Ovis aries: one gene and its partner. The protein of the gene in region 1 interacts with the protein of each later gene in a pairwise test. Links are inferred from orthologs where the notes say so. Each region holds a gene or a part of one and is shown on either strand. Other genes may lie near its edges.

Region 1 (16,330 bases):
TTTGTAACTTTAGGAGAAGGGTGGTAAGGGTTTGGGCTCAAACGGCCTGCAGGGCTAACTCCCAAAGTGGCAAACATTATCCCTGGAAGCCCAGTTGCCTTTGAAGGGATGCCAACTGATGGACAGGCATTGTGTGCCCGTCGCCCGCCCTAGCGGGTCCCCTGGGAGATGCTGGTGGTGTACATGTTGTAGGAACATGCAAGATGAAGGCCTGAATGTCTAGAGGGGTTGGATATCGCACAGTATTTCCCTCCCAGGGGCCAGCGATCTTCTGGTTGCCCCTCCAGAAGATTGTAGAGGCAGCGTTGTGGGCCCGGATGGGGCTGAGGAAAAGAGCATGAAACAGGAGGGAAGGGGGCAGAGCACAACCTTTGACAGAATGACATAGCGCAAGGGCATAGCGTAAACTGATTAAAACGGATTGGGTCCAAGATGACGAGTCCAATTCAAGCAAACCTGAATCCCCAATCTATAAGCCAAAAGACACATCCAGAGGTGGCAGGACTGCTCTAAGGCACTGTCAAAAGATGGAGGAGTGGGTGGTTCCCCAATAGTTGGGATGAGCCTCCCCATCATCAGCATATGAATTCACCCCGCAGGCAAAACCTAGCCAGACTGCATTCCTCAGCAATGGCCCACACCCTGAAGAGTGGACGGCTCCTCTTTTTATGTTTGTTCCCCCCCCCCCCCCCCCCCCCCCGCCCTGTCCTATGTAAATTGCTGTTCTGCCTGATGTCTTCACTCCAATACTCTGACCTTCCTTTGACCTTCCTTTGTTCTATTTTCTCAGGCTTTTCCCTTCCCTGTCTTTTAGCCACCGCCATTTTGGACTCCTGTTTCCTATTCTAACTACCTAACATAGTCATAAGGGATTTGACTTAAGTTATACCTGAATGGTTTGAACATTCTTTGGCATTGCCTTTCTTAGGGATTGGAATGAAAACTGCCCTTTTCCAGTCCTGTGGCCACTGCTGAGTTTTCCAAATTTGCTGGCATATTGAGTGCAGCACTTTCACAGCATCATCTTTCAGGATTTGAAATAGCTCAACTGGAATTCTATCACCTCCACTAGCTTTGTTCGTAGTGATGCTTTCTAAGGCTCATTTGACATCATATTCCAGGATGTCTGGCTCTAGATGAGTGATCACACCATCGTGATTATCTGGGTCGTGAAGATCTGTTTTGTACAGTTCTTCTGTGTATTCTTGCCACCTCGTTTTAATATCTTCTGCTTCTGTTGGGTCCAGACAATTTCAGTCCTTTATCGAGCCCATCTTTGCATGAAATGTTCCCTTGGTATCTCTAATTTTCTTGAAGAGATCTCTAGTCTTTCCCGTTCTGTTCTTTTCCTCTATTTCTTTGCACTGATTGCTGAAGAAGGCTTTCTTATCTCTGCTTGCTATTCTTTGGAACTCTGCATTCAGATGCTTATATCTTTGCTTTTCTCCATTGCTTTTCACCTCTCTTCTTTTCACAGCTATTTGTAAGGCCTCCCCAGACAGCCATTTTGCTTTTTTGCATTTCATGACGGGCAGGTCATGGTGGAGAGGTCTGACAGAATGTGGTCCACTGGAGAAGGGAATGGCAAACCACTTCAGGATTCTTGCCTTGAGAACCCCATGAACAATATGAAAAGGCAAAATGATAGGATACTGAAAGAGGAACTCCCCAGGTCAGTAGGTGCCCAACGCACTACTGGAGATCAGTGGAGAAATAACTCCAGAAAGAATGAAGGGATGGAGCCAAAGCAAAAACAATACCCAGCTGTGGATGTGACTGGTGATAGAAGCAAGGTCCAATGCTGTAAAGAGCAATATTGCATAGGAACCTAGAATGTCAGGTCCATGAATCAAGGGAAATTGGAAGTGGTCAAACAGGAGATGGCAAGAGTGAATGTCGACATTCTAGGAATCAGCGAACAAAAATAGACTGGAATGGGTGAATTTAACTCAGATGACCATTATATCTACTACTGCGGGCAGGAATCCCTTAAAAGAAATAGAGTAGCCACCATGGTCAACAAAAGAGTCCGAAATGCAGTACTTGGATGCAATCTCAAAAACGACAGAATGATCTCTGTTCGTTTCCAAGGCAAACCACTCAATATCACAGTAATCCAAGTCTATGCCCCAACCAGTAACGCTGAAGAAGCTGAAGTTGAACGGTTCTATGAAGACCTACAAGGCCTTTTAGGACTAACACCCAAAAAAGATGTCCTTTTCATTATAGGGGACTGGAATGCAAAAGTAGGAAGTCAAGAAACACCTGGAGGAACAGGCAAATTTTGCCTTGGAATGCGGAATGAAGCAGGGCAAAGACTAATAGAGTTTTGCCAAGAAAATGCACTGGTCATAGCAAACACCCTCTTCCAACAACACAAGAGAAGACTCTACACATAGATCATCACCAGATGGTTAACACTGAAATCAGATTGATTATATTCTTTGCAGCCAAAGATGGAGAAGCTCTATACAGTCAACAAAAACAAGACCGAGAGCTGACTGTGGCTCAGATCATGAACTCCTTATTACCAAATTCAGACTTAAATTGAAGAAAATAAGGAAAACCGCTAGAACATTCAGGTATGACCTAAATCAAATCCTTTATGATTATACAGTGGAAGTGAGAAATAGTTTTAAGGGCCTAGATCTGATACATAGAGTGCCTGATGAACTATGGACTGTGGTTTGTGACATTGTACAGGAGACAGGGATCAAGACCATCCCCATAGAAAAGAAATGCAAAACAGCAAAATGGCTGTCTGGGGAGGCCTTACAAATAGCTGTGAAAAGAAGAGAAGCAAAAAGCAAAGGAGAAAAGGAAAGATATAAGCATCTGAATGCAGAGTTCCAAAGAATAGCAAGAAGAGATAAAGCCTTCCTCAGAGATCAATGCAAAGAAATAGAGGAAAACAACAGAATGGGAAAGACTAGAGATCTCTTCAAGAAAATTAGAGATACCAAGGGAACATTTCATGCAAAGATGGGCTCAGTAAAGGACAGAAATGGTCTGGACCCAACAGAAGCAGAAGATATTAAAAAGAGGTGGCAAGAATACACAGAAGAACTGTACAAAACAGATCTTCACGACCCAGATAATCACGATGGTGTGATCACTCATCTAGAGCCAGACATCCTGGAATATGAAGTCAAATGAGCCTTAGAAAGCATCACTACGAACAAAACTAGTGGAGGTGATGGAATTCCAGTTGAGCTATTTCAAATCCTGAAAGATGATGCTGTGAAAGTGCTGCACTCAATATGCCAGAAAATTTGGAAAACTCAGCAGTGGCCACAGGACTGGAAAAGGTCAGTTTTCATTCCAATCCCAAAGAAAGCAATGCCAAAGAATGCTCAAACTATTGCACAATTGCACTCATCTCACATGCTAGTAAAGTAATGCTCAAAATTCTCCAAGCCAGGCTTCAGCAATACGTGAACCGGGAACTTCCAGATGTTCAAGCTGGTTTTAGAAAAGGCAGAGGAACCAGAGATCAAATTGCCAGCATCCACTGGATCATGGAAAAAGCAAGAGAGTTCCAGAAAAACATCTACTTCTGCTTTATTGACTATGCCAACGCCTTTGACTGTGTGGATCACAATGCACTGTGGAGAATTCTGAAAGAGATGGGAATACCAGACCACCTGACCTGCCTCTTGAGAAACCTGTATGCAGGTCAGGAAGCAACAGTTAGAACTGGACATGGAACAACAAACTGGTTCCAAATAGGAAAAGGAGTACTTTAAGGCTGTATATTGTCACCCTGCTTATTTAACTTCTATGCAGAGTACATCATGAGAAACGCTGGGCTGGAAGAAGCACAAGCTGGAATCAAGATTGCTGGGAGAAATATCAATAACCTCAGATATGCAGATGACACCACCCATATGGCAGAAAGTGAAGAGGAGCTAAAAAGCCTCTTGATGAAAGTGAGAGAGAGGAGTGAAAAAGTTGGCTTAAAGCTCAACATTCAGAAAACGAAGATCATGGCATCTGGTCCCATCACTTCATGGGAAACAGATGGGGGAAACAGTGGAAACAGTGTCAGGCTTTATTTTGGGGGCTCCAAAATCACTGCAGATGGTGATTGCAGCCATGAAATTAAAAGACGCTTACTCCTTGAAAGAAAAGTTATGTCCAACCTAGATAGCATATTGAAAAGCAGAGACATTACTTTGTCAACAAAGGTCTGTTTAGTCAAGGTTATGGTTTTTCCATTGGTCATGTATGGATGTGAGAGTTGGACCATGAAGAAAGCTGAGTGCCAAAAAGTGATGCTTTTGAACTGTGGTGTTGGAGAAGACTCTTGAGAGTCCTTGGACTGCAAGGAGATCCAACCAGTCCATTCTGAAGGAGATCAGCGCTGGGTGTTCTTTGGAAGGAATGATGCTAAAGCTGAAACTCCAGTACTTTGGCCACCTCATGCGAAGAGTTGACTCATTGGAAAGACTCTGATCCTGGGAGGGATTGGGGGCAGGAGGAGTCGTGGACGACCGAGGATGAGATGGCTGGATGGCATCACCGACTCAAATGATGTCTTTTAATGAACTCCAGGAGATGGTGATGGACAGGGAGGCCTGGTGTGCTGCAATTCATGGGGTCGCAAAGAGTGGGACAGGACTGAGTGACTGAACTGAACTGAACTGAATTTGCCTGGATTCATGGATCTAAAATTCCAGGTTCCTGCACAATATTGCTCTTTACTGCATTGGACTTACTTCCATCACCAGTCACATGCACCACTGAGTGTTGTTTTCACTTTTGCTCCGTCTCTTCATTCTTTCTGGAGTTATTTCTCCACTGATCTCCAGTAGCATATTGGGCACCTACCGACCTGGGGAGTTCATCTTTCAGTGTCGTATCTTTTTGCCTTTTCATACCCTTCATGGAGTTTTCCAGGCAAGACTACTGAAGTGTTTTTCTATTGCCTTGTCCAGTGGGCCACGTTTTAAAAGGAAACGTCTCCACCCTGACCCATCCGTCTTGGATGGCCCTGCACACCATGGCTCATACTTTCATTGAGTTAGACAAGGCTGTGATCCATGTGATCAGTTTGGTTAGTTTTCTGTGATTGTGGTTTTCATTCTGTCTTGCGTCTGATGGAGAGCTTACTGGAAGTTTCCTGATGGGAAAGGCTGACTGAGGGGAAACCTGGGTATAGTTTTGATGGGCTGGGTCATATTCAGTAAGTCTTTAATCCAATTTTCTGTTGATGGGCTAATGGAATACTTTTTAAAGCATGATCTGTAGGTGAGTTTAGCATGTACCTTGGAAGTTTAAGGAATTGACTGATACTGCCAGTGACATAAGTCCCTCCATACTTATCTATTTATATAAGTCAGCAAGTTTTCTCAGGGATTGACATCTATAAAAACAAACCAAAAACATAGGTCCAAAATTGATGGCGAGCTCTGTCTTATTTAGTAATATTCATTCAAAAGATTCAGATTAAAAAAACACACACACACGGCTGCATTTATTCATAGCTATATTGCCATGCCCATTTTATTTTTCCTGTTTAATAATTATGTGACAAAGTGTGTGGTGTTTCATGCTATTTTGATGAACCATGTCCCACTAGAAATAATAACTCAATCCGGAATAGATTGTGTTATTTTACGTATATGAGCAAATATCTTAGAGCAGTGCTGAGCAGGGTTTGTCTAGACAGTTGACTGAACGCGGACCGTACCTAGCGCGCAGGAGAAAAGGTGTAAACGCCTATCTGCTGTCCTCTGCCGGCGCGCCGTCCTGAACGGAACCCGCTCCGCGCCGCGGCGCCCTCACAACGTTCCGTCGCAGCCGCTCCCACCAATAGGGGGCACACGCTCGTAGGCTGCCGGGGGCGGGCCCCGAGCACGCCTCTCGGTCGCCCGGTCGAGTCTCTCGGCTTCCGTTGCGCATCGAGCAAGATGGCAGCCTCCGAGACGGTTAGGCTACGGCTTCAATTCGATTACCCGCCGCCCGGCGCCCCGCACTGCACGTCTTTCTGGCTTCTCATCGACCTGAACGGATGCCGCGTCGTCACGGACCTCATCAGCCTGATCCGCCAGCGCTTCGGCTTCAGTTCCGGGGCCCTCCTGGGCCTCTACTTGGAGGGGGCGCTCCTGCCCCCCGCCGAGAGCGCGCGCCTGGTACGAGACAACGACTGCCTCAGGTGCGCGCGCGGCGCGGCGCGGGGGGCGGGCGCGCCTGCGCACACGCCGGGGCGCCGCCGGCGCGGAGGCCGCGCGGCCGGCTGCGCGGGGGGCGGCGAGCGGCCTGCCGGGAGCCCGGGGGCCTCCGGCCGCCCCGTGGGGCGCGGGGGCCCGGCCGCGGACAAGCCCCGGCCCGCTGTCTGGGCGGGGCCCGCGTCCCGTCCAGCCTCGGCGTCCCGTCCAGCCTCGGCGTCCCGTCCAGCCTCGGCGTCCCGTCCAGCCTCGGCTTGCCGAGCGCTTGCTCAGCCGCGCCCCGTCGTTAGGTGCGCGGCGCGGGCCGGCCTCGGGCTCGGCCTTGCCCCGGCGGCTCGCGGGCCCCAGCGGGCGCCCAACAGGCGTGGCTTCGTCACCAGGTGCGGTCTCCCCGGCCTCGGAGCGCCTGCCGGACCGCCTGGCGGCCCAGTTCTCTGTCTCACTTGGGTTCGGTTAAATAGGTGTTTGTAACCTTTTGGCTTTGACTTGGGAAACCAAAGTTTTAAATACGCTTTTGGAAACTTAAAAAAAAAGAGAGAGACAGACACTGACATGAGTGTGAAGGTGCAGTCTTGTGTAAATTGCTCACGTGTGGCTCATATGTCTCAGTAAAATGGTAAGCCAGTCGTTTTGTTGCAGGAAGGGGGACCCCTTCCAGGGCCCGAAACTGGGCTCTTGTCTAACAGTAGGAAATGAATTGTTGGAGGAGACACCTGCGCTGACCAAGCAAGAGTTTTTATTGAGAAAGGGCACCCGGTGGAGAGCAGTAGGGTAAGGGAACCCAGGAGAACAGCTCTGTCTCATGGCTTGCAGGCTCAGGTTTAATGGTGATGGGATTAGTTTCTGGGTTGTCCTTAGCCAATCATTCTGACTCAGAGCCCTTCCTGGTGGTGCAGCCTTGTTCAGGAAGACGGATGCCAGAGAGGATTCTGGGAGGTGGGTAGACAGGTGGTGTCTCCTTTTGACCTTTCCCAAACTCTTCTGGTTCAGTTCAGTCGCTCAGTCGTGTCCAACTCTTTGCGACCCCATGAATCGCAGCACGCTAGGCCTCCCTGTCCATCACCAACTCCCGCAGTTCACCCAAACTCAGGTCCATCGAGTCCATGATGCCATCCAGCCATCTCATCCTCTGTCGTCCCCTTCTCCTCCTGCCCCCAAACCCTCCCAGCATGAGGGTCTTTTCCAGTGAGTCAACTCTTCGCATGAGGTGGCCAAAGTACTGGAGTTTCAGCTTCAGCATCAGTCCTTCCAATGAACACCCAGGACTGATCTCCTTCAGAATGGACTGGTTGGATCTCCTTGCAGTCCAAGGGACCCTCAAGAGCCTTCTCCAACATCACAGTTCAAAAGCATCAATTCTTTGGTGCTCAGCTTCCTTCACAGTCCAACTCTCACAGCCATACATGACCACAGGAAAAACCATAGCCTTAACTAGACGGACCTTTGTTGCCAAAGTAATATCTCTGCTTTTGAATATGCTATCTAGGTTGGTCATAACTTTTCTTCCAAGGAGTAAGCGTCTTTTAATTTCATGGCTGCAGTCAACATCTGCAGTGATTTTGGAGCCCCAAAATAATAAAGTCTGACACTGTTTCCCATCTATTTCCCATGAAGTGATTGGACCAGATGCCATGATCTTCGTTTTCTGAATGTTGAGCTTTAAGCCAACTTTTCCACTCTCCTCTTTCAGGTTCATCAAGAGGCTTATTAGTTCCCTGTTCCTTACCAGGACCTCCTGTCCTAAAACAACTCATGCAGATGGTTATTATGGTGCCTGGCCAGGGTGGGCAGTTTCAGTCAGTGTGCTTCCCCTAACAGTTTCAGTTCAGATTCATATATTGGAGTGATTTATTTAGGGCTGCTTTTTTTAAAATTTAAGATTTATTTATTTTAAAGTGGAGGATGATTGCTTTACAATATCGTGTTGGTTTCTGCCAAATATCAACATGAATCAACAATAGGTATGCCTCTGTCCCCTCCCTCTTGAATCCCCCTCCCACCTCACTCGCATCTCACCCCTCTAGGTTGTTACAGAGCCCCAGTTTGAGTTCCTTGCCATACAGCAAATTCCCCCTGGCTGTCTGTAGTGTGTATGTTTCCATGTTCCTCTCTCCATGCCTCCCATCTTCTCCTTCTTCCCCCACCCCACGTGTGCGTAAGTCTGTTCTCTATATCTCTGTCTCCATTGCTGCCCTGCAAATAGGTTCATCAGTACCATCTTTCTAGATTCCATAGATTTTGTTCATATATATTTGTCTTTGTCTTTCTGACTTACTTCACTCTGTATAATAGGCTCCAGTTCATCCACCTCTTTAGAGCTGACTCAGATGCGTTCCTTTCTATGGCTGAGTAATAGCCCCTTGTGCGTATGTAGGTGAAATCTAGGTTGCTTCCGTGTCCTTGCTGTTGTAAATAGTACTGCAGCCAATATCAGGATACATGTGTGTTTTTCAGTTTTGGTTTCCTCAGGGTTTATGCCTAGTGATGGGATTGCTGGGTCAGAGGGTGGTTTTATTCCTAGTTTTTAAAGGACTCTCCATACTGTCTTCCATAGTGGCTGTATCAGTGTATATTCCCACCAACAGTTCAAGAGGTTTCTCTCTTCTCCACACCCTGTCCAGCATTTATTGTTTGTAGATATTTTGATGATGGCCATTCTGACCAGTGTGAGGTGATATCTCATTATAGTTTTGGTTAGCATTTCTCTAATAATGAGTGATGTTGAGCATCTTTTTATGTGTGTGTTAGCCATCTGTGAGGCTTCTTTGGAGAGATGTCTGCTTAGGTCTTTTGCCCACTTTTTGGTTGGGTTGTTTGTTTTTCTGGTATTGAGTTGTATGAGTTGCTTGTGTACTTTAGAAATTAATCCTTTGTCTGATGTTTCAGTTGCTATTATTTTCTCCCATTCTCAGCGTTGAGTGTTCACCTTGTTTGTAGTTTCCTTTGCTGTGCAAACACTTTTAAGTTTAATTGGGTCCCATTTGTTTATTTTTGTTTTCCTTTCCATTACTCCAGGAGGTTGGTCATATCGGATCTTGCTGTGATATATGTCATTGAATATTCTCCCTATGTTTTCCTCTAAGAGTTTTATAGTTTCTGGTCTGAAACGTTTAGGTTTCTAATCCATTTTGAGTTTATCTTTGTGTATGGTGTTTTAGGAAGTATTGTAATTTCATTCTTTTACATGTAGTTGTCCAGTTTTCCCAGCAGCACTTATTGAAAAGACTATCTTTGCCCCATTGTGTATTCTTGCCTCTTTTGTCAAAAACAGGGTACCCATAGGTGCATGGGTTTGTTCTGGGCTTTCTGTCTTGTTCCATTGGTCTATAGTCCTGTTTTTGTGCCAGTTCCACACTGTCTTGATGACTGTAGATCTGTAGTGTAGTCTGAAGTCAGGAAGGTTGATTCCTCCAGCTCCATTCTTCTTTCTCAAGATTGTTTGGTCATTTGGGAGCGTTTGTGTTTCCATATGAACTGTGCGATTTTTTCGTTCTAGTTCTGTGAAAACGCCGCTTGTAGTTTGGTAGGGACAGCACTGGATCTGTAGGTTGCGTTTGGCGGTGCAGTCACTTTCCCAATAGTGACTCTTCTAGTCTAGGGACGTGGAGCGTCTCTCCATCTGCCTGCGTCATCTGTGATTCCTTTCATCAGTGTCTTCCAGTGTTCTTTTGTCTCCTTAGGTAGGTATATTCCTAGGTATTTTATTATTTTTGTTGCAGTAGTAAATGGAACTGATTCCTTAATTTCTCTTTCTGATCTTTCACTGTTATAATATAGGAATGCAAGTGATTTCTGTGTATTAATTTTGTATGTACAAAATCAAGGCCTCTTTTTAAAAGCTTCATTTACAGTGAAAAAAAAAAAATAGAGTTGTGAACCAGGCTACTTCCTTCTGCTTGCTTTTTGTTGAATGTTGAATATTCTTTTTCCCAGAGTATGTCAGATTCATATGATTTTTTAATAGCATCAGGGAATTTAATTTGGAACAGTTGCTGTATCTTTGAGTGCATGTATGTATCTTTCTGCCTTTCTTATAAAAGCAGGAACACTATGATTTACTAATAACGTTTAGCTATTTCCAATGACAATTTGAAATAGTCCAGGTTTCAAAAAAAGTTGTTTTCCTTTTTTATTCATTCTGTTCTTTCTGCAGTTCAGGGACTGTTTATTATAAATATTGCATCCTGTCCTGTTATGCTTACTTTCTGATCTCTCTCCTGCTTCATGAATTAATAACTTGCTGATAGCTAATTGCAGTTGTACTTCATTTAATCATCTGAAAATTAAACTCTTTATAATGAAGTTAGCAATGTCAAAAGCAAACTATGAAAGCTGTTATAGGAAATAAATACAGCACCGATGGCAGGCAGACTTCTTCCTAAACACCAGATGCACAGTCGCGTATGTCAAAAATATCTCGGCAGCTGGCTTCAGTGGTGAATGGGGCGGACCGTAGGAAAAAGTTGAATTTGGAAAAGTCCTGTATGTTTTTGCGACTTCATGTCCCCAGTCATTTGCTCGTCTTCCTCAGACTCACTTTTCTTCAGAGCTACAGAAGAACACAATCTCTTTTCTCCACGGTACCTAATATTTTTGGAGTAGAGCAAAATAGTTTTGTGTTTCTGTATACTATCTTCTTGTGCCATGTGGACTGGGTCGTTATTCCACGTTTTGCTGCTAAGTGCAAAAAGGAGAAAGGAGAGATCATGATGGAACCCAAATGATCAGGGAATTCAGCAGTAACTGAAGGGGAGGTAGGGAAATGTTGGATGGCCCTGTATAGTTGTGGAGACAGAAGCAATACTAACTTGGCGAATAGATGAGTGTGACCAGCAGAAGGGCTTTGTTGGGATTGCCAGGAGTGCTTAGAGAATTCTCACGAGGGAACGTGGAGCCTGGTTGTGGGAATCCTGAGAAATTAACCCTGGAGGCTCAAGAGCATCTCCACACTGTCTGGCGCGGTCGCTTCCTCACAGCCCCTTCTTTTGAACCCCCAGAAGCTGACTGCTCTGCCCCCAGGCTGCTGACAGTGGCCTCCTGAAGGCGGTCTCCATCCCCCCTGGGAAGAGGATGCACTCCCGTTTGCCTGGAGCCCCGTTAGTCTGCGAGGGCCACTCTGATGAAATACCACAGGCTTAAGCAACCGAAAGTTCTCTCTCACTATTCTGGAGCCTGAAAATCTAAGATTAAGATGTTGGCAAGTTTCGGTTTTTACTGAGGCCTCTGTCCTTGGCTCGTGGGTATCTCTCTTACTGTGTCTACACATGACCTTTTCTCTGTTGTCACAAAAAGGCGCGTGACTGATGTTTCCTTATGTGTCCAAATTCTCTCTCTCATCAGGACACCAGTCACAGTGGACTAGGGCCCACTCTAACGGCCTTACCTTAATTTTATTACCTCTTCAAAAGCTCGTCTCTATATACGGTCACATTAGAGTACTCTGGGGTTAGGGCTTCATAGAAGAATTTTAAGGGGACACAATTTAGCCTACTACACTCCCTGAAGGGAGCTTCACAGGGGCCTGCCGGCAGCCCCTGGCTTGGAGAGCGACCAGGTGAGGTGAGAGCTCTCTGTTGAAGAGTCATTCTGTGAGAAAGTGCCTGCTCTCCTCGGTCACTCTTTGACCCTGTGACGTTTGATGCTTATTATTAAATACAGAACATTAGAGACGAGTTCTCATCTCATGGTGCTGTGATCAGTAGCTCCTTGGATGGCCAGCCAAGCCCTCTGACATGTCTGTGAGGCTGCCAGCGAGCGTGAAGAAGACAGTGTTTGAGCCAGACTGAGAGCAGTCCGGTTTCCGGAAATCTTGGATGCCAGAGAAGGTCCTCGCCTTTAAAGCTGCTGCTCCTCGTGCAGCTCTGGGCCTCCTGATGCTAAGTCTCACTTTGTGGCATGCTGATGGTTTGAGGAATATAGCATGCCGGGCGCACCTCTCTGTCATATCAAGGAGCATGCTTGTCTAATGCCCTTGGGTTTTCCCTGTACATACTGCTGTGGTGAATATTCTTCAGTATCTTTGTGTACGTGAGCAGTGACTCAGTAAGATCATTCCTAGAAGGGGTACTACTTGGTCAAATGTTAAAATCTGATAAGTACTGTCAGGTTGGCCTCCAGAAAAGTTGTACAGGTCTGTATTTATGCCAAGAGTGTGTGGGTTACCTTTGTTCAATATTGTGTGACAGATAAGAGTGACGGAGAGCAGAATGATGAAGAGATCAGGGTCTGAATTCAGAGCTCTGGATTCGAATTTTGGCTCTGTGGCTCATTAACTGTGTGCCCTTGCTCAGACAACTTACTTCTCTGTAGGTGGTGATGCGGGGGACACATGGGGCCCCAAGAGATTGCAGATTCCTGCTTACACCCACTTTTTTGAATTTCACCTCCATTTGATGGGACAAGTTCATTAAAAACCCACCAACTCCTGTCCTCAGAAGACATTCATTTTATTAATACATTCATTGTATTAATAAAAATTGGAACTAACATTTGGATAGCTCTTGCTCGTAGCCCAGCACTGCTCTAAACATATATGGTAGCTCATTTGAGTACTATATTATTACCCTGATTTTCACAGATGAGATAAGTTGAAATAATGATACTTTAAACTTTTAGCCAAAGGCAGAAGAAGATTTGAATTCAGTCACTTTGGCCTTGGCAATGACTAGGGGGAGTGGGGAGGTGTCAGGCAGTACAAATGATCATGTCTTCTCTATTTCTATATGATAGAATCCTCAAAGTGAACTTGCAGATTTAAAGCGACTACCTTACATTTTAATACATTTTACCCAGTTTGCCCTGCAAAGAGTTTGAGTGAACAGGGAGTCTTAAAAATTTCTTGGAATTAGACAGGTAAACTATACAGGCCGTCTGCCTTCACTGCTCATTGTACAGGTCGCTCACTGTTCTTTGTAAAAGGACAGCTTCATTCACTTTTGTTTGTGAGCAGACGGTTACATTTGTTGTCTGTGATCCAAGTGGAGAAATGAAGAGCATTGCCAGAGAAGCGTCCACCACTGGGCAAGTGAGCCGTTTCTCGTTCCCTGGTTGGCACTGAGCTTCTCAGCCTTAGTATGTTCCAAACTGGAATTGTCTTCAGCAGCCGCAGATGGCGAGGCTGCAGCAGTCACAGGTCGAGCACCCGCAGACCCTTGGTCTTGAGAACGCGTGAGGTGTCGCTCAAGCTGCTCTGGAAGGCTCCTCTGAAAGCCGGGGTCCTGCCCGCAGTGGGTGCAGCGCGTGCGGCGTTCCAGTGAGCTAATGAGCCGCAGTGACTGAACAGAAAGTCTGACATCTGTGTCCTTTTCATTCACTTACTTATTTTAATTGGAGGGTAGTTGCAGTATTATGATGGTTTTGGCCATACATCAGTTTGAATCGGCCACAGGTATATGGAACACGTGTCCCATACATGTGTTCCCCCTCCACCTTGAACCCCCCTCTCCCACTTCCCTCCTCACCCTATCCCTCTAGGTTGTCCCAAAGCACCGGCTTTGCGTGCCCTTCTTCATGCATTGGACTTGCACTGGGCATCTATTTTACATACGGTAATATGCATGGTTCAGTGCTATTCCCTCAAATCATCCCACCCTCTCCTCCTCCCACTGAGTCCAAAAGTCTGCTCTTTACCTCTGTGTCTCCGTGCTGCCCTGCATGTAGGATCATTGGTACCATCTTCCTAAATTCCATAATATGCATTAATATACAGTATTTGTCTTTCTCTTTCTGACTGACTTCACTCTGAATAATAGGCTCCAAGTTCATCCACTTCATTTGAACTGACTCAAATGTGTTCCTTTTTATAGCTGAGTAATATTCCACTGTGGTATGTATGACAGGTTCCTTATCCACTCGTCTGCCAGTGGACATCTAGGCTGTTTCCATGTCCTGGCTATTGTAAACAGTGCTGCGATGAACATTGGGGTACACGTGTCTCTTTCAATTCTGGTTTCCTCGGGTTGTATCCTCAGCAGTGGGATTGCTGGGTTGTATGGCAGTTGTATTCCCAGTTTTTTTTTTTTTTTTTTTTAAGGAATCTCTACACTGTTCACCACAGTGGCTGTACCAGTTTGCATTCCCACCAATGATGTAAGAGCGTTCCCTTTTCTCTATACCCTCTCCAGCATTTATTGTGTATAGACTTTTTGATGATGCTCATTCTGACCGGTCTGAGATGATACCTCATTGTGGTTTTGATTTGCATTTCTCTAATAATGAGTGATGTTGAGCATCTTTTCATGTGTTTGTTAGCCATCTGTGTGTCTTCTTTGGAGAAATGTCTGTTTTGGTCTTTTGCCCACTTTTTGGTTGGGTTGTTGGTTTTTCTGGTATTGAGCTGCATGTATATTTTGGAGATTAATTCTTTGTCAGTTGTTTCGTTTTCTGTTATTTTCTCCCACTCTGAGGTCTGTCTTTTCACCTTGCTTATAGTTTCTTTCGTTGTGCAAAAGCTTTTAAGTTCAGCTGGGTCCCATGTGTTTATTTTTTTCTTTCCATTACTCCAGGAGGTGGGTCATGTAGCATCTTGCTGTGATTTATGTCACAGAGTGTTCTGCCTATGTTTTCCTGTAAGAGTTTTATAGTTTCTGGTCTTACATTTAGGTCCTTAATCCATTTTTAGTTTATTTTTGTGTATGGTGTTAGAAAGTGTCCCCATTCCATTCGTTTACATGTAGTTGACCACTTTTCCCAGCACCACTTGTTGAAGAGATTGTCTTTTCTCCGTGATATTTTTTTTGCCTCCTTTGTCAAAGATAAGGTGTCCATAGGTGTGTGGATTTCCTGCATCTATTTTCAAAGTGTGATGAGAAGTTTGGTACTCATCAGCATCTCAGAACTGAAGCCCGAATCATTGCATCGCTACACGTGAAAACAAACTGATGAAAGAGGGTACGGAAAGTTCCGTACCCTGCAGTTCCTCACTAGTTCTTAGATTCGCAGTGTCCCAGACTGGCTTTTGCCAGCTTGAGGGTTACTTCCTTGCTCCTAGGTGCCGACATCCACAGCTGAGGACAGCAGGTAATGAGTTTTTATTATGGAAGTCCCTGCTATTTCAGAGTTTTATTTCTCTCTGTGTCCTCCTTCTGGCATCAATAGCTTTTATTTTATCTTTATGTGTATGTGTCTGTATATTTGTGTATCTTGAAGGGTAACTGAGGATTTTTTTCAACTACCACATTGAGATAAATCCATAGGATTAATGTTCCTTCAAAAATTTAAGAATGCCTATAATCTGTTTTATTACTCACTGGTTGTACTTTATTTTCAAATCTGATTGTCGGCATTGTTCCCTGGTCACTAAAAGTACTTGGTGAAAGGTACACCTGGATGTGAATATGTTGCAAGAATAGTGTTTGTTTTTAGCAGGCGTTTTTAAACACCCACTGCGTGCTTGACATTGGTGACGCTCACTCAGGTCTCTGTCACTCTGGCTGTGCATATTAGAATTAACTGTCGCCAGTCCATGGAGGAACAGAATTCCTTTACTACAGTGAAGTGCTGTTGGATGAACTGTGTATTGGAGTTCTCCAGAGAAACAGAAAGAATTCGAGCTGACACAGACGTGGCTGTAGCTGTAGATGTAGAAATGAGGTTTTCAATAAGGACTTGGCTCATGAGATTATGGAGACTGAGGAGTCCCAAGATTGCAGTTGGCAATCTGGAGACCCGGGAAAGCTGATGATAAACTTCCAGCCCAAGTGCAAAGGCCTGAGAACCAGGAGAGCTGATGGTATATTTCAGTCTGATTCCTAGTCTAAATGAAGAGAAGTTCTTCTGATGTCCCAGCTCAAAGGTAGGCAGGGGGTGGGAATTCCCTCTTGCTCAGCCTTTTAGTCTGAGTCTCATTCACACTGGGACGTCTGCTCACAAAGGTGGGCTTCCCAGTGGCACTAGTGGTGAAGAATCCGCCTCCCATTGCAGGAGACTAAGAGATGGGAGTTCGATCCCTGGGTTGGGAAGATCCCCTGGAGGAGGGCACAGCAACCCATTCCAGTATTCTTGCTTGGAGAATCCCAGGGACATGGCTGCCTGGTGGGCTACAGTCCACAGGGTCATGAAGAGTTGGACACGACTGAAGCGGCTTAGCAGCACGCCTGGTCACAAAGGCAGTCAGTCTATTTAGTGTACAAATTCAGATGTTAATCGCATTCTGAAACACC
Region 2 (15,894 bases), on another chromosome or scaffold:
TAGAAATAAGGGGGTTGTTGATGGTGGATAATGGAAAATTGCCGAGTCAGTGAATTTGGTAAGCATTAATTCAGTTGGTAAAAGTCAGTGAAATTGCCGAATCAACTCAGTACAGTAAAAAGGCTAAGGGAGTCAAAATGTAGAGGAGTGAGTTGCGGAAAAGGGTGTTTAAAACAGAGATTTTAGACATGTTAGACTTGCTGATGGAAAGTAAAGGTTATGAATTCTGGAGTGCGTGGTTGTGGCATTCCAGGCCAGTGACCTAACTGTAGAGGGATTATCACTGAACTGAAGAAGTTAGAGAATGCAGCAGTCTGATTATTTAGTGACTCAGCATGATAACATTGAGGTCATCAGGAAGATTGTTGGAATGGGGTAAAGAGAAAGACAGTGAGCCCGGGGCTAAAGCCGACAGTGGGCAGGGTTAAGGCCAGACAGTGAATAGGTGCGGAGTCAGCGGTGTAGTCTAATGACCCAGGCCCCGAAGCACTCAGCATATTGCAGGATCAAAGATGATTGATGGTGTAAAAAGGAAGCAGAAGGACACTTGCTCCATCTCTAGGTTTATAAACTTATGCAGTATGAGAAAAAAGGGACTTCTGGGGGACAGCAGGCACATCTAGAATGGCAGAGGGTTTGTGAGGTCTGAGAGGTATGGGAAATGGATCAGATCAGGAGACATAGAACAGTAAAGAAATGAGAGTTCAGAAGATGATGGATGGATGACTCAATAGGTAGTATTTGTGGCAGGTAAACAGAGATGGGAAGTATGGTGGACTTGCTCCTTGGGGTCTGTTACGGAAAAGTGGACATTAGACCATAAATACCATGAGAACAGGAAATTACAGTGGGCAGCATACATGGTGTGAAATGGGACTTCGAATAAGATTTTGTGGCTGAATGAACGAATGGATGCAATGAATGATTGAATGGGAGAGCTCAGGATGTGTGATCCAGAATATTTAGCCAGAGAGCATGTGGCCAGTGGCTTCTGTTCTCTAATGCTGGAAGAACATTCTCGCTAGACATGGGGCGGTATAGTGACTTTCCCAGGATACCTGGTTTCTCCAAGGACTCATACTGGGTGGCTGTTGAACATGGCATTCAGAAAGATTTATTTATATTTTCAAATAGATAACAGATTGACTCAACACTATTGAATCATACATTATTTTAATCTGGATTTGGAAAAATACTTTCATCGTAAATTCTTTTTATAATATTAGGATTATATTACGACTACAAAATGGCATATTTTTGCCCCATACAAGAAATTGTTCCTAACTATATAGTAGAAATCATTGAAATCACTAATAGGGATGATTCAGTGATGAAACTGATGATGTGCAGTGAGAGGAGCTAAGGTTAGTGCAAAGTACCTTGCTGTTAGTGAGGGAGATGGACTTTTATCAGGAATAGTTACAAGTGATTTCTAAGTTGGTATTATACCTTAAAATCTTTATATTATATTGGTATTTTTATAGACATTGTGCAAATATATACTCATTCTTTATCTATGTTATCTTTAGACCCCATGCTATATTTTCTCTAAAGAGATCAAGAAATATAGATAACTAAAGACTTCAAAATCCTAAAGGATAGTGCCGTCAACGTGTTGCGTTCAATATGTCAGTAAATCCGGAAGACCCAGCAGTGGCCACAGGGCTGGAAAAGGTTAATCCTCTTCCCAGTTCCCAAGAAAGGTAGTACTAAAGAATGCTAAGCTTCGGACAGTCGCACTCATCCCCCATGCTAGTAAGGTCATGCTTAAGATCTTGCATGCTAGGCTTCAGCATTATGTGAACCAAGAACTTGCAGTTGTCTAAGGTGGGTTTAGAAAAAGAAGAGAAACCAGAGATCAAACTGCCCACATTCGCTGGATCATAGAGAAAGCAAAGGAATTCCAGAAAAACATCTATCTCTGTTTCATTGATTACGCTAAAGCTTTTGACTGTGTGGATCAGAACAAACTGGGGAAAGCTCTTAAAGAGATGGAAATACCAGACCACCTTACCTGTCTCCTGAGAAACCTGTATACGGGTCAAGAAGCACCAGTTAGAACCCTTTATAGAACAAATGGATGGAGGTCAGGATGGAGAAAAGAGTACGACAGGGCTGTCTGCTGTCACCCTGTTTGTTTAACCTATACGCTGACTACATCATGAGAAATGCTGGGCTGGATGAGTTACGTGCTAGAATCAAGATACGCAGGAGAAACAGCAACAACCTCAGATATGCGATGATGCCATCCTAATGGCAGAAAGTGAAGACGAACTAAAGAGCCTCTTGATGAGGGTGAAGGAGGAGAGTGAAAGAGCCAGTTAAAACTAAACATTAAAAAACCTAACATCATGGCATCTGGCCCCATTACTTCCTGGCAAATAGAAGAGGGAAAGCTGGAAGTAGTGACAGGTTTCCTCTTCCTGGGCTCTAAAATCACTGCGGATGGTGACTGCAGCCATGAAATCAGAAGATGATTGCTTCTTGGCAGGAAAGCTATAACAAATATAACAGTGTGTTGAAAAGCAGAGACACTACTCTGCCAGCTAAGGTCTGTAAAATCAAGGCTATGGTCTTCCCAGTGGTCAGGTATGGTTATGAGAGCTGTACCATAAAGAAGGCAAAAAGTCAGAGAATTGATGCCTTCGAACTGTGATGCTGGAGAAGACACCTGAAAATCTCTTGTAAAGCAGGGAGATCAAGCCAGTTAATCTTAAGGGAAATCAACCCTGAATACTTGTTGGAAGGACTGGTGCTGAAGCTGAAGCTCTGGTATTTTGGTCATCTGATGCGAACAGCTGACTCATTGGAAAAGTCCCTGATGCCAGGAAAGGTTGAGGGCAGAAGAAAAAGAGGGTGTCAGAGGGTAAGATGGCTCGATGGCATCACTGATGCAATGGACATGAACTTGGGCAGACTCCGGGATGTGGTGAGGGACAGGAAGGCCTGGCATGCTGCAGTCCATGGGGTCGCAAAGAGTCAGACACAGCTGGGTGACTGAACACAACAAAAAGAGTTCACATAATACTAAGACTGGACATTTAATAATGTATCATCCATTACAGAAAAGCAAGATCAGAGGAATGCATGAAAGCTAGGGCAGAATTTGAAAGGTGCTGAAGAAAAGCCTGCTTCAGACTCTGTGGTGATGTAAATGGGAAGGAAATCCGAAAAGGAGGGGTATGAGTATATACATAGCTGATTCACTTGGCTGTACAGCAGAAACTACTGCAACTTTGTAAAGCAACTAAACCCCATTAAAGAGAGAGAGAGAGAGAATGAGATAAAACAACAGAGAACAAATTCCCCGTGCAAATAAGCTCCAGTTCTTTCAAGGCCTCCATTTATATTTCCTTCTTTTCCTTGTTTCAGTAAAGTACAAAGCACCAAGTAAAATTTCTTTGACCCAGTTTCTTTTATTCGCTCTCACAAAAAAATAAACCTCATTTTGAATGGTGTTATTCTTCATTTCATAATCTTCTTTTAACTTCTGACAGTCAGTCCCCTCAGCCCCTCCATGTGCAAATCAAGGGTGCCCTATTTTCTTATTTTTAAATTATTTTCATGATGAAATTTATAATAAATGTAGAATTAACAGGCTCAAATAATGTTTTTAGGCTGATTTTTTTTTTAAAAAAGGCAGTTGAAATTAATACATTTAGCTTGTGATAAAAGGTGTCAGAAATTTCCACCTGAGGTTTTGTTAATTTAACTTACCAGAGGGGAAATTGTAATTACAAATGAATGCATATTTGTTGTTGAGAAGCTGGCAGAAGATTCCCATTTTTCCTGATGACAGACAGTTTCCTTGGCTAAAATAAATAACTTTGCTCCTCCAGTGAACCCCAAAACTACAGAATGCAGTTACAATGCTGGTATAGCTCACTTTTTTTTTTTCCATTTTCTGCTTTCACAGTATTCTGTGAATGCTTGCTTTGTAGAAGACTGAATATACTAGCAACAATTTATTGTCATTTTCCTCTTTTACCTGCTATAAAATATATATGTAAGGTTTCTGATTTTTTTTTTCTTAATGAAAACCTGCCATGTAGGGATTAATAAATCATTCTGTCTGATTATTTTGTGACATTCATGTGGAGAGTGAGGAGGATTGAAATTTGTGTTTGGAGACTGAAAGTTTTCATACTGCGAGGGAAGGTTTCTGTATTCCTTTTCAAGGTTAGTCTTTGTGAAGAATTTGTTCTTATATAGTTTGGATGTCATTCCATCAAAATATGGATGAGCCAAATTAACATTTTGATACTTTGTAACTGAGCTGCATTTTATCATCCTTCTGCCAGAAATAACTAGTGAAATAGTACTAAAAACAGGTAAGTGTATTAGATAAGGTCGGAGCACAGAAGATGGAAGAGAAGTGGTCAGTTGGCTCCTATGATGAGACTAAATGAAATTAGGAATGCACCCCAAAAGACAAGACTGTATGATTCCACCTGTGTGAGGTATCTACAGTGGTCAAATTCACAGAAACAGAAATAAAATGGTAGTTACCAGGAGCTAGGGGGAATTGGGGAAAGGAAAGTTGTTATTTAATCAGTATATAGTTTCAGATTTATAAGATGAAAAAGCCATGGAGCTCTGGAAATCTGTTTCACAACAGAAGCTAAACCTAGCATTACTAAACTATACACTTAAAAATGGTGAAGATGGTAAATTTTTTTTTTTTTTTACAGTTGAAGTCTATTTGACTTACAGTGTTGTGTTTCAGGTATACAGCAAAGTGATTCAGTTATTCTTTTTCAGATTATTTTCTATCATAGTTAGGACAGTAAATTTTATGTTGTTTTTTTTTTTTAACCACAATAAAAAAAAAAGTGAGGAATGCAAATTGTCAATTAAATTTAGCCACAGAAAGGTCATTCAGGACCTCAGCAAGAAAATGGTTTTCTGGAGGTTGGAGAGTGAGCCCACTTGAGGCAGTGGAAGAGGGGCAGGCTGCTGAGGAGATGGAGACTATGTAAGTAAAATTACTTCATAGTGTTTGGATGTTAAGGTACATGGGGGAAATAGAAGGTGAAGGTGTTTTCGTTGTTATTGTTTTAAGAGAAACTATAGCATTTTTGAATGGGGATGCAAAGCCTGTAGGGGGCAAATAGAAAATGTGAGAGAAATTGATTGAGGCCAGAGATTGATTGAGGCTGCTGAGAAAAGGGGAGGAGCTAGAGTCTACAGCATAAGGAATTAGCAATTTGAGAGTTGCCAGGACTGGTAGGTAGAGTTCCTCTGGCTGCTCCTACAGGTATGGTCAGGTTGGTAAGTTAATCAGATGGGCAACCTCACTCCTGCTTTGCCTGAGCAGACGGTTTACATGGGTCCCCACTGAAAAGCGCAGAAAGGCCCAGTACAGAGATTATACAAAGAAAGGCACAATTGCAAAGAAAGATAATGCACAAATAGCTCTTTGTTCATTTTCCCTGAGAAAAGCAGGCCAAAAGTCTGCAAGCCCAACTCTCCAGACATATCTGGGAAGTGTTCATACCTCTCTCTAGTGAGAAATGACAAGTGACTTAAGTAACAGACCAAGCTGAAAGTCTTGCTGCTCAGAGGTGCTATTAATTAGAGCTTCTTCCAACCCTAAAAAGAATATATATTGGGGAATGACAGAATGAGAATAGATATTGATGTCTGTTCCGTACTAAATGAGATAGTTTAAAATTTTCTTAAGTCTATTATTTTCAGACATTGGCTAAGCAAAGGAATAGATAATCAGTGTGTGTAACACATGGGAAACCTCCTGAGTACATTTGTTTGGAAACTTAGAAATCTGGCTTTAAAGGGTATTTTATGAGTTATATGAACTTTATTTTCAAATGGTATTCATTTTTCCAGTCAACAGAGTTTGTGGAGGTGTTGGAAAACTCAACTCCTTCAATTCACTGTGTTTTCCTTACCTGTCCTCATTATGTATTATATATTAATTATGTATTATATATTAAAATATAGATATTGATATGTATTACATACTATGTAGTATATACATTATGTACCAATATATAGGTATTGATAATATTTTATTTTTTCTAGGATATTGATAATTCTTTATGTTTTAAAGGACATTTTAAAAGTTTTTTTTTTGGAGTTCTAGTCATTTCTTTGAGGTTGTTCTTGTATCAGTTCTTAAACAGTAATACCTGTTTCAGCTGAATTGGGAAACAGTCTCAAGAAGGTACGAGATATATTCTGTGGAAAAAACTCACTATAGATATAGTGAGTTTGTACTTGAAAACAATAAATTTCTCCAATGCATTTATTCAACAAATATTTATTTGTTGTTTTCTATGTTGTAAGCACTTTGTTTTACTTACACCAGTGAACGTAACTGTCCCTGACCTCAGGGAGCTTCTAATCTAGTGAGGGAGTCCAGATTCAAACAAATAACCACATAAATTGTATAATTAATATAATAACAAATTATGTGAAGAAAAAGTACAAGGTGGTATAAAACCATATTACACAGGCCGCATTTAGGTAATTTGGGGAATTAGGGAGACCTCCCTGAGGAGGTGACATTTAAACTGAGGCCAGAAGGTTACTTAAGAACTAGTGTGATGAAGATGTGGCGGAGAGCTGGGTATAGAAAGTGAGAGGTAATAGACTGCACAGTGGCCTTGAGGTGGGAAGAGGGTTTAAGAAGAGATGGAAGACCGCTGGACTGGAGCAAGCCAGACAGAGAGAAAGCTCTGTAAGAAAGGCTGGTGAGTAGGGAGCCTAGGATCACAGCCATCCATGGAGCAGTGCTGGCAGCATCTAAGAACCAGACAGGGTCAGATTTATGTTCTTAAGAGTTCGCTCTGGTAGCTGTGTGGAGACATTAGTCTCTGTGACAGGGGGTCAACAGACTTTCTCTGTAAGACATGAGGTAGTAAATATACTAGATTTTGTGAGTCATGGGGGTCTGTTGCAGCTGCCCAGCTCTCCATGTTTTATGGAAGTAGCCATAGACGCTATATGAGTGACTGAACCTGGCTGTGTTCTCGAAAACTTATTTATAGATGCTGACATTTGAGTTTCATATAGATTTTACGTGTTGTGAAATAGTCTTTTTTTTTAACTTTTTAAATCATTTAAAGATATGAAAGCCATTGTTAGTTCCCAGGCCGCATGAAGATAGGAGGCAGGCTGACTTTGACCTGGGAGCTGTGGTTTGCTGAGTGTGGTTTGTTACAGCACTTCTTTTCTTTCTTGTTTAACTTTTTTTACTCTGCCTCTTAAATGATGTTTACTTCTACCTTGACATTTTTCTTAAGTTATCTACACTTTTTTCCAACACTCTGTTAAAGATATGACCAGTACTAAATAAAAAATGGGAATATAACCTCTTCTATTTTTATCTTAGTGTTACATTTTCCATTTGAAACTCAATAGACATGACTGATCCATTCTACTTTTTTCCACAGGCTTTTTTAAAAATGAATAATTTTTTGTTTTTTCCTGTTTATTTTTTTTTCCCAAAGTGTTATACTTGGTGCTTTCTTCTTTCAGGCCTCACACTGAATTTTTTCATCTTCTCTTTACTTGGTAATAACTCTTAAATTTAATTCTGACATTCAAAAGAAAAAATGGTAAAGACATCAGGAAAACAAAATGCATCATATTCAAACAACACAATTGCTTGTAAACGTTTGTTTCTGATAAGATGAAATAGTTTCTTTACATCAAGGTATGACATCCATATTATTTCAGATCTGCAAATAATTATTCTGACTTGAAGGGAAATTCGTAGTTGCTTTTGTGTATTGTGGTATTCAGCCCCACAGGATGCTAGAAAGCATAAGGTTTTAGAAAGAGTACATATAGACTTGGTTCAGCATCCATCTGAGCCTTACTAGGTATATGATATGATATGATATGATATGATACTGGGCAACTTAATTAATTTCTTGGAGCTTAAGTTTCTCTGAAGCATGCAAAATACATAGTGATGGAAATTCCCACCCACCTTTCTTCCCCCTGTAAGCATGATAGTTTATCACATAAAAATTGCTATGTTAAAAAACGGCCTATATTTGTTGATTGTGAGGGTGTTTGGTGTTAGTTTTAACCTTCTACAGATAGAAAGTTTAAAAAAAAAATCTAGCGGTATTCCAAAATGGAACCAATGAGCTTTTAAGGTGGTATACATGATTAAAGTCTGTACTTTTCATTAATATTTCCTCTGCCTTGTTTATTTTACTTCTGAAAACTCAGGTTTGACAGTTCTCTGGAAGACCTACCTCAGAGTGGACCTCACCCACCTACAACTGCTCAGGTTTTACATATTGGTGGCCAAGTAGCCACAGTTTCTAAAGTAACTTCGTATTCTAGGTAGAGTTTTTTCCTCTTGTCTGTCTAAATTTTAATGCTGGTGGTGATAGGTACTAAAACTGTTTGACTATTAATACAAAGGAAAAGCTGATCATAGATTACAGAACTGACATCTCTAATATATAGACAGAGCTTGGCGCTCAGCCTTGGTGGAACACTGCTTTACACTACTTTTAAATTTTTCATTTTTTGTTTGGATTCTGAGTTCTAGTTTAGAGTCAGGAAATCTGTGCCTTTTCTCTGTTCACTGTGCTTTGGAAAGTCATCTTTCTTGAGTTTGTCATAAGTCTATTGAATTAGAGCATTCCCATCTAAAAAAGAACTGATAGAAATTTTATGTTCTAGGTGCCCAGATACATTCTAATTATATTGAGGTTAATTTTCCTAAGATTTTGACGGACTCTGCTCTACTCAATCTTTTTATACTATTATTTGTGATACAATGTGATGAAAGAAATTCATTATAGCTTCCTTTTCTTCTTATAGAAGAAGGATAATTTAGCTGATTGATTTTTTAGATGACTTTTTTGTAGACTTAAGTGTCTCATTATTTGCCATTATTTCCCTGAAATAGAAGCCATTGTCTCAAAGATGCAGAGTAATTGAAAAACTCAAAGTTGAGTCAGTTGTAACTGTATTCTTCCACTTTGTATGACACTCATATTCTTGTGCTCTGCTGCTTATCTCATTTTTCTTTTCTTTTTCTTAGACCCCATTTTTTCTTTTCTAGCCATTCACAACAGTTAAAACATATCTGCACAGTTCAATTAAATTATAGACTTACCAAAAATTATACTTAAGCAATTCTCTCTCTGTGTGTGCATATAATATAGATAGATAGATGGATAAATGACTTACCACGGTTTTCTTAATTTGTCTTCTAATGTTTTGTAAAATTATAGCCAGTGGAACTAGGAATAATGAATTATCAAATTATTCTAGAAGGGAGAAGAGGAGACAGGGAGAAGAGACTTATATCACCCCTCACAGTTTTGGGCATCGGAGCTCTTATTCGCTTGAGTTGAGTTTGGTACATAATTATATTGTGTTAGAGGTGGCCACTGTCACCAGTTTTGGAAAAGGCAGTCATAGTATAGTGAGGCTATTCATTAAGAACTTATATGCGTAGTTAAAGCAGAGAGACATAGATTTCATCCCATGCATTTTAAACTTTCTTTTTACCTAATAAAGAAGTTCTCAATTCCAGCTTGATAACCAGATTTGAGAGAAGGGCATGGCAACCCACTCCAGTATTCTTGCCTGGAGAATCACCATGGACAGGGGAGCCTGAAGGGCTACATACAGTCCATAGGGTCGCAAAGAATCAGGCACGGCTGAGAAACTAAGCAACAGCAGCAACCAGATTTGAAAATCATTACAATCCTAACGATGGAATGTTAATTCCTATCTAGGCATATGACCTTTTCTAAAGGACCAAAGGAAACTATTACTTTAAATAATTGGAATTTTGAAGGTAAAATTTCATAGCAGCATTTTTGAATCTTTACAGAGCTAACTGAAAATAGAAATACAGAGCATCATTAGAGAAGGTGATCTTTTAGTCATATTCACCGTAACTACTGTTTATTTCTGCAAAGGTGTTTGCCCTCTCCAAATAGTTTTACTCTCAATATTTAAAAGTTATTTCTTATCTGTATTAATATGTATTGTAGCTTCTGAATAAGCAGGCAATTGTACCTGCTTCTCTTGAAAACTCGAGTCTCATTAAAACATCAGGCTCTGGGTGTATATTATCTCTAAGGTGTATATCAATTCTACATTCTCGTTATGTAGAAACTTTTTGGAAAAGTTGGTGTAACCTTCCTTCTTTTTCTGCTTATTGAAATTCACCCTTCATGTTTGGATTTATTTTCTGCTTAGTTGTTGACAAAGAAAAAGAAAGGAAGTTGTTGACAAATCAGTCTTCAAATTTCTATTGTTATATGATACTGATTTCACTTTAAGTAGGATTAGAGACTGTGAGCTTTAGAGACTGTGAGCTTAAAAACATTCAAAAATGTTTGTATAGTATTTAACCCAGTTTTATGGAGGATTATGTATCAGATTTTAATTTCTGAGAGAAATCATAGTAACAGTGAATAAAGGATCTGAGCTCCTTTTACACTTGTGACATGTCACGCCTTTAAAAGTCTAAGTATTAACATGGCATGATTGCTATCTTATCTTTATTATGCTACCCCTTCTCACTTTCCTTTTTGCTCCTCTTCTCTGTTTTTCTGCTGACCGATTTAAGCAGCTCCACAAGAAATGTGGCAACCAGTCCTTTGGAAGCTTCTCGAAGCTTATCTACCTTGTCTTCTCCTGCTAGATACAGTGCTGCCATTCTGAGCAGCGCAGCCGCTACTGTGTCTGCTGCTCTTGCTGCAAAAACCAGGTAGAGCTGCATGTACGGTGTGCATCCGATGTGAACCCAGTGCTTTTCACTCTTACAACTCACCGCTGGGAAAGCATTCCCATTGGAATCAGCCACAGCCCTGTTAGGAGATCTTCATTGTATTGGGGACATTTTTTTCTAGGTTGTGGCTATATCCCACAGAGTTTATTGCTGATTTTTCCTAAAATAATCCTTTTATCTCTTTCCATTACCACCGTTTATCTGTGATATTTCTCAGTTGTGTGGATTGTTGCATGTTGTGTGCCTATTGACTTTTGAGTGTTTATCATTTTTATGAAACAAAATTCTGAAACGGAATCAAGCATAAATAGGTATTTTAGATTTCTGTTGGTTTTATCTTCTCCCACAAGCTGGTTATGGTTGAAGTTGATCTAAAGCCTAACTATTCTAATGTCTGTTCATCCTGTAGAAAGACTAAACCTTTTTATTGTTGTAGGGTTTTATTTTTACATAATTTCTAGTATTTATAGCTTTTGATGCTTTCCAAAGGATTGCCTTGATCAACTTTGATGAGAATTTACTCAATTCTGTATTAATGAGTAGAATAACATGATAGACACTTCATCCTCTTTCTGCTGCTTTGTTCTGTTTCTGTCCCTCTCTCTCTCTTTGGGAATGTTTCAAATCACAGACTATAAAAACTACATACTTCCTGCTATCGGTAGTGTGATTTTTCGACTTAAAACTCTTTCTGAATGCTCACCAGGCTCTCCAGTCCCGAAAAATATCACTCACTCCTGGATGCACTTTGCATCAGCCCTGTATCCAAGCCTTTAGCTTTTTCGTATCTCCAGCCCTTGAGGAAATCAACTGGCTCTGTCCATGTTAAGAGGACCAGGTACGGGGAGAGTGGATGTCATAACGGGGGGCTTGCTGTGAAAGGTACTGCTTTCTCTGACACTGAAGCACTGTATTAACAGCCCAAATGAGAAACCCTAGAGCTGTTTTGTGTCCAGTTTTAAATTAACTATAATTTCAATGCAGCAATAATGTACGAGCACATTATTTTGTATGATTATTAACTTGACTTTTAATCCTTTGTGACATCTCTTATTAGCACACTTGATATTTGGTATGAAATAGGACCCTGTTTTTTATTGCATGGATATTGCTATATGAGAATTGTTTAATAAGATACACCTTTATACTTTTCAAAAAAATGAAAAAGAATAATAATTGCTTTTGATTGGCTACTATCTTATAGTTCTTAGATATGAGAGTTTTACTTTGTCAGACAACTTAGTTTTCACCATATCTGGGAAATGCTGAAATACAAAAATGAACTTTTCTCCCAGACTTAACAATTATGCTAAAAATTATTAGGTATAATGTAAAAGTAAAAAAATCCTGAATGTTTCCTAAAGGTATAATCTTAATGAAATGACTATATTATTTCTGAAAGAACATAAAATTAATGGCAGAGAGTATGACTGTAATTCGTAAAAGCCTGATGTGACCTGTTGATCATATGTTTGTGTCCTACCAACAGTGTTATGGATGTGCTCAATATACTTAATTACAGACATCCCTTGGAGATATTACAGGTTTGGTTCCAAACCACTGCCATAAAGTAAATAGTGCAATAAAGCAAGTCACACATTTTTTTTGTTTTCCAGTACATATAAAAGTTATATTTACCCTATATTGTACTCCATTAAGTGTACAATAGCATTATGTCTAAAAAATTAATGTATATACTTTAATTTAAAACTGTTATTGTTTAAAGATGCTGACCATTATCAGAACCTTTAGAGAGTCATAATCTTTTTGCAGTAGTAATACCAAAGATCACTGATCACAGATCACTATAACAAATGTAATCATAATGAAAAATTCTGAAATCTTGTGAGAATTACCAAAATATGACACAAAGTGGGCAGCAAATGCATTTGGAAAAATGATGCTGATAGACTTGCTTGAGACAAGGTTGCCACAAACCTTCAGTTTGTGGAAAGAAGCACAGTATGTATGAAGCACAGTAAAGTACAATTAAATAAGCTCTGTATAACTCTGGATAACTTTTAAGGGAGATGTTTGAATAGGGGGAAGACATATCATTGTACATTTTGCTCTAAGGAAAAAAAATACCCCAAATTATTTGTGGAATTAGATGTTATGGGGAGGGAGGTGGAAGGGGGGTTCATGTTTGGGAACGCATGTAAGAATTAAAGATATTAAAATTAAAAAAAAATGAGCAGAAATATAACATTATTAGGGCTAAGTTTATACAAAGACAGGTGCTGACTACCCTTGGAATAAAAATTCCTTTGAGAACACAATAGAATCTCTAAATCCTCTATTGCTTTCTTTCTGTCTTTATTTTTAACTAAATGGCTTATGGTATGTTTTGGCTGACATCAGATGGAGATGGAATGAGGAAAAGCACTGGTTATGAGAAAATACCCTGTTTCTCCATTTGTGCCATGCTCATTCAGCTTTTGATTTTTTATTCCAGTAAGTTATTTTGTTCTCACTGTTGAACAGAAAAAGAACAACATAAAAATCCTTATATACCTTGTTTGAAGAATTAATGTTTTTCATTTATCATTGCAAAACTGAGAACAGTTTTATAATTTTTTGGTATGTAGTTGTTATGTGGTAAGTCAGTCTGTTTTTAAGCAGGAAAAGTTACTCTAAAAAAAAATGCATCCCTGATTTCCTTTCAAATCAGGCTCCTTATTGTTTAAATGAACTTTTTTTTTTTTTTATATGCCTGCAGTTATGAACCGACTGTTTGTCCATGGACCTACTTCTAGAGGAAGTGTTAGTAATTTTCATTACTTTTTATTAACAGTTGTAGACACAAGCTAAATATGTTTGATATCCAGAGAAGGAAAATGGTTCTCGACAAGGTAAGCTAGCTGGCATTCTGCAAAGCAAAAGTGCAGGGTTTCCTGAAGAGACCTTCCCACCTCAGTGAGAAGTGTACTAGAAAGGGCAGTTGGGATATTGTCAGACGTATTTTATCTCTGATTTTTGCTTTTGTTTAACAGTAATCTTTAAAATTAAAACAGAGGTCTGTATAGTCAAAGTTATGGCTTTTCCAGTAGTCATATATGGATGTGAGAGTTGGACCATAAAGAAGGCTGAACACCGAAGGATTGATGCTTTTGAACGGTGGTGTTGGAGAAGACTCTTAAGAGTCCCTTGGACTGCAAGGAGATCAAACCAGTCAGTCCTGAAGGAAATCAATCCTGAATATTCAATGGAAGGACTGATGCTAAAGCTGAAGCTCCAACACTTTGGGCACCCGATGTGAAGAGCTGACTCATTGGAAAATACCCTGATGCTGGGAAAGATTGAAGACAGGAAGAGAAGGAGAGGACAGAGGACAGGATGGTTGGATGGCATCACCGACTCAATGGACATGAGTTTGAGCAAGCTCCAGGAGATGGTGAAGGACAGGGAAGCCTGGCGTGCTGCAGTCCATGGGGTCACAAAGGGTCAGACACAAGTGAGCGACTAAATAGCAACAAATCTTTAAAATTATAATAAAGCGCAGTACAATACAAGACTTGTCTTTCCATTATAGTATTTATATTTAATGTGTTGAATTTTAATACAAAAGTTTAAGAATTTTGCTTAGGAAAATACAAAAAGTTTTCTTGTAAACAGAATTCTGGAACAAAGGAGACTCATGATGGCTCTATATGTCTCGATCCTTTTATAAAGTTCTTAAAGAATTAAGAATTCTTAATAGCATTCTATAAGAATACTTATAATTATGACCTTACGGAAATACTCCTTTCTTATCACTTCAGAATGTGTATATTCATTCCTATATCAATTTTTGTAAGACTTTAGCTAAAAACTGCTTAGTTTAAACATTGATGTTTAAAATCTGTGATGTACAGTTGGCTTTTAAAAAATTTAAACATGTAATTATGATATTTAGAATAAAAGTTACCTCACGGTTATTCTTTGAGCAGAGATTCTCTTTTGAAAATAGACTTGAAATTTCCAACTCTTCCCCATCTGCAGCTGAAATTTATTTGTTATAATAGTTAAACAAATGTGGGGAAAGAATGTAAATTTAAGATAAATCAGGTTGCTGACACTGAAAATTAACTTTTCTTCCTTTTTCTTTTATCCTCATTAGCTCAGTTTTGAAACCTTTGCTCTATCAGTATACATTTTTCTCCATTTTAAGGTTTTGAAATATGAAACAGAATCTTTGGTATTCTTCAGATGGAAGTCATATTAATTTTAACATTTCATTTCAGCGCTTGTTTATTTGGCAGACTAGTGAAAATGACCATGTTTGATGCTGAGCTTGGTATTAATCAACATTGCTAATGGATTTGCTCTGGTTTTCTTACTAGGATCTTTTAGAAAGCAGTTTAATTTGTTTAGAATTTAGGTATACCTTAAACCATTTAAGTTTAGAAAAAATGTACATGAGTCATGATTTTAGAATATACCAATCTATGTGTTCATGACTATTATATTAATGTTAGTCATTAGTTTGAAATATTTTGCTGTTAGTGATTATTAATGGCATTTTCCCCAAATATAGAATTATATAGCCAATGGCCTTATTAATTTTTTAATCTTTACATAATGTTCATATATTTCTTTAAGTAATAAGTAATAGTTAAAAATTAGAAAAAAAAGATGTTTGATTTTTAGGGGCTTGGACGTCATATATTTCAACATGATTGTCTAGAGAAAACTTAATTATTTCCCATTAATACATTAAAAATTTTAAGTTAATAGAGATCTATTCTAGAGATTTTTCAGCTCTGCTGATCAATCCTGATATAAATAGAACTCCCTTGCTTATAACTTAGATTTTCAAAATTCTTTATAATCTGCACACCCTTTGTATCTAAAGAGTACTATTTAAGATTTAAAATCTCAGAGTCTTTGGGAGAAAATATATACAGAACTGTGTACAAAGATTACAAAAAATATGAAAACATTTTTTGCTTATGAGATACTGTGTGTCATTTAAAACTGAGTTGAAGAGGCAAGATTATACCTGACCTCAAAATCCTGGATCAGAACTATCTACAAACTACATTTAGAAGCAAAATCACTAGCGCAGTTGAAGGATGTTTACTTGCTAAATGTGTTTATCTCTAGATGTCTGAGCTACATATTACGGGATATGGCATTTCTGGAGCATACAGTCTGTGCTCAGCAGTGTGTTCAGT

The links.
Region 2: the proteins of COIL (region 1) and PDLIM5 interact in binary tests that used the Homo sapiens proteins (3 or more experiments, as listed by UniProt). The two-hybrid records come from large-scale screens. The link is inferred for Ovis aries from reciprocal best matches to the Homo sapiens genes COIL and PDLIM5.

What each region holds. Positions count from the first base shown.
Region 1 is NC_056064.1:7,478,213-7,494,542, reverse strand, and holds the start of COIL (coilin), read left to right. Parts: upstream 1-5,888; 5' UTR 5,889-5,912; coding exon 5,913-6,157; intron 6,158-6,479; exon of another isoform or gene 6,480-15,928; coding exon of another isoform or gene 15,929-15,963; intron 15,964-16,330. UniProt on the Homo sapiens protein: Component of nuclear coiled bodies, also known as Cajal bodies or CBs, which are involved in the modification and assembly of nucleoplasmic snRNPs.
Region 2 is NC_056059.1:30,643,588-30,659,481, reverse strand, and holds part of PDLIM5 (PDZ and LIM domain protein 5), read left to right. Parts: intron 1-8,205; coding exon 8,206-8,322; intron 8,323-10,576; coding exon 10,577-10,717; intron 10,718-11,444; coding exon 11,445-11,576; intron 11,577-15,894. UniProt on the Homo sapiens protein: May play an important role in the heart development by scaffolding PKC to the Z-disk region. May play a role in the regulation of cardiomyocyte expansion. Isoforms lacking the LIM domains may negatively modulate the scaffolding activity of isoform 1.